Diceros bicornis minor: one gene and its partner. The protein of the gene in region 1 interacts with the protein of each later gene in a biochemical or structural test. Links are inferred from orthologs where the notes say so. Each region holds a gene or a part of one and is shown on either strand. Other genes may lie near its edges. The genes, in order: LYN and DOK1.

Region 1 (3,902 bases):
CTTTTAGCCAGGATCTCAAGGACTCATTGGTAATAGCAGATGTTTTAAGTTAGGGCCAATACATTTGAGAGGTCACCCTGAAGAGAAGTCCAGGAAACGGGCCCTGAGGTAGTGAATTACTCCATAGGATCTGTGGCAGATTTCACTCACACTTGCAACACCTTCCAACAGGTAACCCCACTCCCTCCTCTTCAGCAGGAAACTAACCAACTACATACCAGCAAACATCACAGGTATAAACCAACCTACTTCGTTTAAGGCAGTAGTTTGCAAACCTTCATCCTCTGTTACCAGTAACAACGATTGTTGTTTGGGGTTGTGTTACAAGGAGTTGGACTTGCCCACTGGGCTGTGGCTGCAGCCTCCTTAGGTGGGGCCAGCCTCTTAAGAACATTGTCAATAAAAGGTAACAGGTCTGAAGCGCTTAGGGCAATGTCTGGGGCCCAATAGGCCCTAAGTAAGTATTGGCTATTATTAACACAAAGACCAAACCTCCTACAGGATGCTGTTTATTTCCTCGTAAATTCTACAGTGTAGGGCAGCGTTGGCATCCCAGTGAGTAGAATCCTGCTTAGAACAAGTGGGCATCCACAGTGGCTGAGACTAACATTACATCCTGGATTTGTAAGTGGCATTTACTGAGTAGGAATATGAGCTTGAAGATGCAGCTTACTCTTTCAACAGACACTGATTAGGCACCTGCTATGTGTCAAGCTCTGGGCAACATGTGGGGATGCAGAGATTGTAGGAATGACAGAATAACAGGGCCCATGACTGTGTACCGGGCACAGTGTGAGCCCTTTACAGAAGACATGTCATCCTCCCAGTAACCCCGCGAGCTAGCCATCCTTATCTCCAGTTTCCCGGGAGGAAACAGAAGTTTTGAGGAACTGAGTAAATTGCCAGGCTATTTAATTCCACAGCCACCACCGCCATCAATACCCTGAACATCCTCGTACACCCTTCAGGAGCTTACTCTGTACTGATTAAGAACACAATGAGACCCTGAGCATAAACTCGGCACATCTCATTCTCTCTCTAGAAAACTCCAAATGTTGGGGGGATCAGAGCGCGCCCCCTCCGCTGCCAGGGGCACAACACTTCCTAACACCTTGGGGAGTAGGCTGGAAGGCAAGGCAAGGAGACGCGAGAGGTTTCGTCGATGTGCTACGACCGTCAAGGCTTCAGAGTATTTCCCTGGAAGATGCTTCTGTCCGTCTCTACCTGAGAATGCTGGGCCCGAGGAGGCTCCACTCTGCCAAGCTGCACACTGGGACACCAGGTTTCTCTGCCTTCAAGGCTCTGCGCGACGGCCACATGAAAGACCCAAACCTTGGGCAGAGGCCAAACGGTCACTTCCCCGCCCTCCGGGTGCAGTATGCAAATCCGAGCACCAGGAAGTAGCTGGGACCTCTCGGCCGAGCCCAGCGACAGTCAGTTCCTCTCCCGCCGCTCCGGGCCGCCCGCCGCTCGCTCCCGGCCGTGGCGCCTCGGGGCCCGACGCGCTGCAGCCTCCAGCCCGCGGCAGGCGGGGCGGCCGCGCCACCCCGGGCCCCGCGCCCGCAGCCCCTCGCCGGGCGTCCTCCGTTCCCGGCCCGCAGCCCCTCCCCACGCGGGGCCCGCTGGGCCGCCCCGTCGCGCCCCCGGCTCTGAACTCGAGTCACCGTGGAGCGCCGCCGCCCCGCAACTTTCACCGCGAGCTGGTGAGTCCCGCGCGCGAGGCCGGGGGTGGGCGCGGGCGCCGGGCAGACCGGGCGGAAGCCGCGGCTGTGCCACTGGCCGGAGTCCGGGGCGCGGGGCCGGCCCTGGGCCGGGGAGCCGGGGTCGGCACGGGGAGCGGGGGTCGGCACGGGCCGCGGGGGCGGGGGGCGCGCGCCGCTTCCTGGCCGCACGGGCGCCGGTCCCGGCGGCGAGGGCACCCCGATGCCCTCAGCCCGTGGGTGACCCGGCCCCGGAGCGAGAAGGCGGGGGCGGGCGGCTCCGCAGGTGTCTTTCCCGCGGAGCGCACAGGGGCGTGGTGGGAGTGCGGGCGCGGAGGCGGGCGCGCCGCGGGTCCCTCTGGCGCGGAGCCGCCGGCCGGATGCTGTCCCCGCTCGGGCCACTCCCGGCGCGCCGCGGGGAAGCCCCTCTCCGCGCGGAGCGGGCGCGCGGCGGGGATCCTGGCGGGGACTCCTCGGGTCGCGCAGCCTGGTCTCCCCGCTGGGCTCTGGGTCCCCAGAAGTGAGGGATGGGGCCCGGCGCGGGCCCTCCTGCAGGCCCGCGGGCAGCTGCCCTCCTCGGTCGCGCCGGGCAGCGGCGTGACGTCGAGGGGCTGCGGCGGAGCGTGGTGCTCACCCTCCCGCTGAGCCCGGCGCCTCTCGGCCTGCAGAGGAGCAGTCCGGTGCCTCTGCCGCCGGCGGAGAGGAAGCGAGAGTTATTTTAAGAATTCAGGGGTTGCCTTTCCTTCGCCTTGGGGGAAGGGTGTCAGCGACAGTTTGCACTGTTCTGCGTTATCCTGGCGACCGCGGCGTCTGCTGGATGCTGTGCGTTTGTAATGTTCCTTCTAATAGCCGGCGTGGCTGTGTGGTTGTGTCTTCCTTTGTTTGTATGCCCGTGTGAGTATGGGTCTGTCTTAATTAAGCCCAATCCACCCAACTTCTTTGCCATCTCAGAAACTCGAATTGAATCCAGGCCTTGCAATTTCCTAACCGTGTGTGAACTTGGTCCTGTTATTGAAATTCGCTCTTTGGGTTTCCTCATCTCTTGGAGAATATATCTACCTCCTGAGCTATTTATTGCACGTAAGGCCCCAAGCACATACTAGGCATTTCATAAACAGTGCTGTTATTATTATTGATCGCAAATAACTCTGTCCATAAAAACGAGGCTCCCTGGTTCTTTGTAATGTGTTGATTATAAACCTAAGACTACATGTCCGATTTAGCCACCTGGCCTTACTAGTAAATCTGCTTAATAAATACACCAGGGATTTGCTGTCCCAAAGCAGGGCCCAGGAGTCTCACTCACCCTGAGAACTAGCCAGTAAGCACCTCTGACTGACTTTTGATTTGCTGGCCACCCCCAGCCGGCTGCAGGGTTCAGGAGGGCAGAGGTGTTCTCTCTGTGCAGGCAACACCTAAAGCAGTGTGGACTGGAGCAGGCACTGAGAGAGGACAGGAGAATATAGGGAGTTGTAATTTAACTAAGTACTGCAAGTCCTTCCTGAGAAGGGCAGTGCGCTGGAAAAGGGTGGGATTCTGTTGTCTCTGCTTCTTATTTGGGAATAAGGAGGTAAACGTCTTGAGGCCTGAAGAAATTTACTTTGATTACAAGAGGCTTTTGATGACTGGGCCTGTTTGGATGCAGAGTGGGCTAACCTGCTTCCTGAGTGAAGAGGAGAGGGCAGCTGATGTCGGGAAAGAGAAAGGAGGAACCAGAAGCCTGTTGTGGGGCTCTTCTGCCATTTACCAGAGCTGTGATTTAGGATGAGTTACTTAGGCCATTTATTCAGCCAACATTTCCTTCATAGCAGTAACTAGAGTTATATTTTGGTTTGTCTGCATGTGTATAGTCTATATTCACCACTACAGTGAAGGCTCCTTGAGAACAGCTTTGTCTGTCTGGTCCAAAATGCTAGCCCTGGTGCCTGTCCCATAGTGGAGATTACTTAGAAGAAGGAATGCAAGTCTGCTCTGAGCCTGGTGCTGTGCAAGGCCGAGGAACAGGGCTGGTCCCTAAGGCATTTGCAGCCTACTGGCCCTCTCTGTCCTGGTGTCTAAAATGGGGATGTGAGGGACTTTTTGGCCTCTCAGGTTATCCCAGCTGTAGTGTTCTAAGTGGGCATCTCCGTTCAGCCCTGGTTACTGTGCTGTATCACTGGGAGACAGGTCTTGATTTGGAGTGGTAAGATTTGGCAAAAGTAG
Region 2 (3,902 bases), on another chromosome or scaffold:
CAGCTCTGAGAACATCCTGCCCCTGACCAGCCTTTCCTTGGGCCTTCTGCCGGTGGATAGCAGTCTCAACTGCCTGAAAGATGTCATTTCCCTGTGCCGTCTGGAAGGTGAAGGTTCCAGGGCCGGAGGGGCAGCGGCGGCCAGCCTCAAAAGAGAACATGACCTGAAGAGAATGTGGAGAGAAACACATTACCAGGAGCCATGAGAGGAGGTGAGTCACAGGGCCCTACTACTTAGGGGATCTACAAAGAAAAGACTACCTGGAGAAGAGGGTGGGGTCATGGGCTAGGCAAAGAAGGGTTATCCAGAGGGCAGAGCTTTCCACCTTCCTGTCCTGCCCCACCTCCCCCACAGCTGCCCAGACCTAGGAAGCCAGCCCTCCCTGACAGCCCCCGCACCTTGTCCCTGCCATAGCGACGCAACAGAGTGTAAGGCCAGAAAAGGAGTGGCTCTAGTATCTGCCTCTGGGCCCCCGCGGTCAGGAGAGTGAGCCTCTCAGCCTCCACCCTCAGCACATAGGAGCCGTGCAGGCCGCAGCGCTCAGCGGCTTCAGTCCTCTGCACGGTTACCCAGAACTGGGATCCTGGAAGGAATACACAGTTAGACGGGCACCTGGCCGGGACTAGGGGATGGGGCAGATTGTCCAAGCACCCACTTGGAAGCCAGCTCTCAGGAGCTTCCTACTTCCCCAGGGGTCCCTGGACCCTCTAATTATCCCCTTCCCAAGGGCACTCTTCCTTTCCACCCCATCCCTGCCCGGGCTTCTCAGGCGTCTACCTTCCCAGGTGGGGCTATACAGGGAGTTCTCCAGCATCTCCAGGGCAGAAAGCTTGGGTGGGTTCTCAGCAGGCGCCAGAGCCCAGCTGCCTTTCTGGGGTAAAGAGAAAGAGAGTATCGAAGACCCTGTAATTCCCTCAACGCGGCTCCCAGGATCTGAGCCAACCCAGTTCCTCCGCCGCAGTAACTGCCCCCACCCCCGCATCGCCTCTAGGCCCGGTGCGGCTCGCAGGAGCCCCTCGCCGGCAGTCCCGGCCCCCTCACCGGAAAGGCGTTGCGGCACAAGGTTTGCACCCAGGCGGCGCTGGACGGCGCGTCGGCCGCCAGCAGGTGGGAGCGCTGCGCGGTGTCCAGGCGGAAGGCAGTGGCGCCAGGCTCAGGGGGGCTTTCCACGGCCACGGGGGCTACGCTCACACACTCCGCCAGACGGATCACCTTGCAGTCCAGGCGGCGCGAGCCCCCTCGGCCCCCTCCAGAGCTCGACCCCTTGTGGTCAAAGAACTCGAGCCGCGCTACGCCGTGGGGGCTGGCTGGGTAGAGCACGGCCCAGGTCTTCCTCCACCTCTGCGGAGAGAGAGCGAGAGACGCTGCGGAGGGGGCGGGCGAGCACGGGCAGCCCGGGAACCGACGGGGAAAGAGAGACCGGCGCTGGCCGATATTGGGTCTGAGGCTTCCCGATGGGAGGCGAACTCGCCCAAGGAGGAAGCCGCTCCGTCTCCCCACGACCAGAGAGGGCGTACCCGGAGCCCGGCGGGCGCTTCCCCGGAGTGTGCAGAGCAACCTCGCGGGAACGTCACAGGGCTCTCCAGCTCCGGGCGCCGCGCTCCAACCCGCTGCCCGCCTCCTCCCTCTTTCTGGGCTCTATCGCCCACCCCTAGCTCTGAGGGGGTTCGGCAACCCTTGCCCCTGACTACCTTGGTACCGAAACGCTGACTCTGCAAAAAGAGCGTCCCTTCCATCACGGCCCCGTCCATCGCCCGCGGCGGTTCCTTTCGCACTTCCTGGCCCCGGGGCTGCGGGCGGGGCGGGGCGGGGCGGGGCGGGCCCACCGGAGGCGTTGCCGCCCCTCCCCCGGCCCCTGCGGACCTTGAAGGATCAGGAAGGAGAAGAGCAAGAAGGAAGGGGAGGGGGTCCACCTCCAGGTCCCTGCCCTTAGCTCTAGGACGCGCGCAAGTGGCTCCACCAAGAGAAACCTCGCGGTTTTGGCCAGAGGGCTCTGGCGCCTGGGCTTGGGGGCTGCGTGCGATGTCATATGCTCAACGTGACATCAGAGTGAAGGCCGTGACATCACCTCGAAAATGGTGACGGTCGCCCTGGGGCACTGGAGGGGCCACGTGGGCCCTCATGGCCTCAGTTCCCCTGACCGGATCCGCCCCCAGCCTGGCCGGAGTTGGGCTGTTTACACTCCGCGGACCCAGGGACATGGAGAAAGGGCTAGGGGCTGGGGACTGGAAGGCTTCCCGGAGCCCGGAGCCGAGTCGCGGCCTCCAGCCGCTGCAGGGGCCGCCGTCCGGGCCGGTCCGCGGCCCGGTGGCCTCTTGCGTGTCCAGCTTCCTGACCGCAGCTGCCGGGCCTCCAACCTGCGGGAAAAGAAAGCTTCATTGAGCACTCCGGGAAGGTCGGGGCGGGGGGAGGTGGAGCGGCAACGGCTAGCGTCACGGGGGAGGGGAGGACTAAGAGGAAAAGAGGAGGGAACTGGCCAGGGAGCAATCGAGGGAGAAGGCGGAATGTGGGAGGGCTCAAGGGGACGTGGGAGGGACTAAAGGAGAGGGAGGAGAGAGGGGGGGTCCAGTCTCCCCTGGCCGAGCACTTTTTTTTTGAAAGTCCTAGGACTGATCTCCAGGACCAGCATTCTTCTCCCAGCCCCTAGGGCCCCCGCTCAGCCAAAGGTAGGGGGAGTCGCGCTGCCGGCAGGAGGAAGGGGAGTTGCGGATGGAGAGGATGGTGCAGGGACCAGGGGAAAAGGGTGATGTAGGATGGAGTCGAGGGGAAGCCAACCAACTGAGGGTTTTATTATTGTCAAAGAAGAACGAGACACAAGAAGAGTGGAGAGAGGAAGCAGATATTTGGGGGGGGGGGGGAGGAGACTGCAGAGTGTTCCAAATAGGGCAGCTGGGAGGACCCTAAGGCTGGGGGCTCCTCTTGTGAGGCCCTACCCCTGGGCCCCCCAGCCACAGTGTCCCCAGAACAAAGCTGTCCTGTTGGGTTGTTTGTCTGAGTTGGGGGAAGCATGTAGGGGGTGGGGGGGCTTGCTGTAGAGAGGCTGTTCTCAGCCCCAGACAGAGGGAAGGCCTTGGCTGAGGAGCCGATTGGCGCCCTGGCCTCCGGTTGCCCAGTGACAGCGATGGCAGTGTTGGCAGGAGACTTGGACAACCCCCCACTCCCCGCCAAGCTTGAGGCCTGGCCCTCCTGGGCCCCTTGACCCTCCAGGGCATGTGAGAGCCTGTGTGCTGGGTAGAGTGTGCAGCGGGTTCTGCATGTATTCTGATCTCTGCCCTCTCTGCCTTGGAATCTGCCCAGATAGGACTCTGGGCTTGGCTCCCATTCAGGGGGCCGGAGATCCAAGGGTTTCCTAAGACCCCCTTGCCTGCCTTTCTCCACAATCAGTAGCTGTCTGTCCTCTGTCTGACTAGCTGAATGGGGTCATCTGGGTCCCTCCCACTTCTGCTCCTTGGCTCCTGTCAATCCCTGTCCTCCTCACCTGTTGCCTGCCTCTCTCCTTTTCTCCCCAATCCTGTGTGCCCGGCTTTCTCCCAATCACCTTTTATCCATCTTCAACATTGTCTTTCTCTCTGCTGTCTCTTTCTCTTTGGTCCCCTTTCAGTCCCACAGTTTCCCTTCCTCTCACCTCCTATCTGTCTGGGTCTTCCTCTCTGTGTTTCTCTTGTTCCATATCTCTTTATCTTGACCATTCTTTGACTCTTGGTCTCTAATCACTGTCTTTTGATCTCTGGGTCTCTTAGATCAGTGAGTGGGGGTAATGGAGGCGATGATGGCAGAACTAGGGAAGGACATTGGAAGGCATAACAACTAATAGTGAGAGTTTTACTTTTTACCAAAGGGAGGGAGAGCCTCTCTCTCTATGTCTCTGTCTGTCTCTCTCTCCCTTTTCCCCAATCTGGGTC

Evidence for each region.
Region 2: of the proteins of LYN (region 1) and DOK1, one has a biochemical effect on the other in vitro, tested with the Homo sapiens proteins (2 studies listed by BioGRID, with this or other methods). The link is inferred for Diceros bicornis minor from reciprocal best matches to the Homo sapiens genes LYN and DOK1.

What each region holds. Positions count from the first base shown.
Region 1 is NC_080772.1:9,709,828-9,713,729, forward strand, and holds the start of LYN (tyrosine-protein kinase Lyn), read left to right. Parts: upstream 1-1,514; 5' UTR 1,515-1,703; intron 1,704-3,902. UniProt on the Homo sapiens protein: Non-receptor tyrosine-protein kinase that transmits signals from cell surface receptors and plays an important role in the regulation of innate and adaptive immune responses, hematopoiesis, responses to growth factors and cytokines, integrin signaling, but also responses to DNA damage and genotoxic agents.
Region 2 is NC_080751.1:14,465,773-14,469,674, forward strand, and holds the start of DOK1 (docking protein 1), read right to left. Parts: upstream 2,421-3,902; 5' UTR 1,752-2,420; coding exon 1,692-1,751; intron 1,342-1,691; coding exon 1,042-1,341; intron 872-1,041; coding exon 778-871; intron 584-777; coding exon 399-583; intron 164-398; coding exon 1-163. UniProt on the Homo sapiens protein: DOK proteins are enzymatically inert adaptor or scaffolding proteins. They provide a docking platform for the assembly of multimolecular signaling complexes. DOK1 appears to be a negative regulator of the insulin signaling pathway.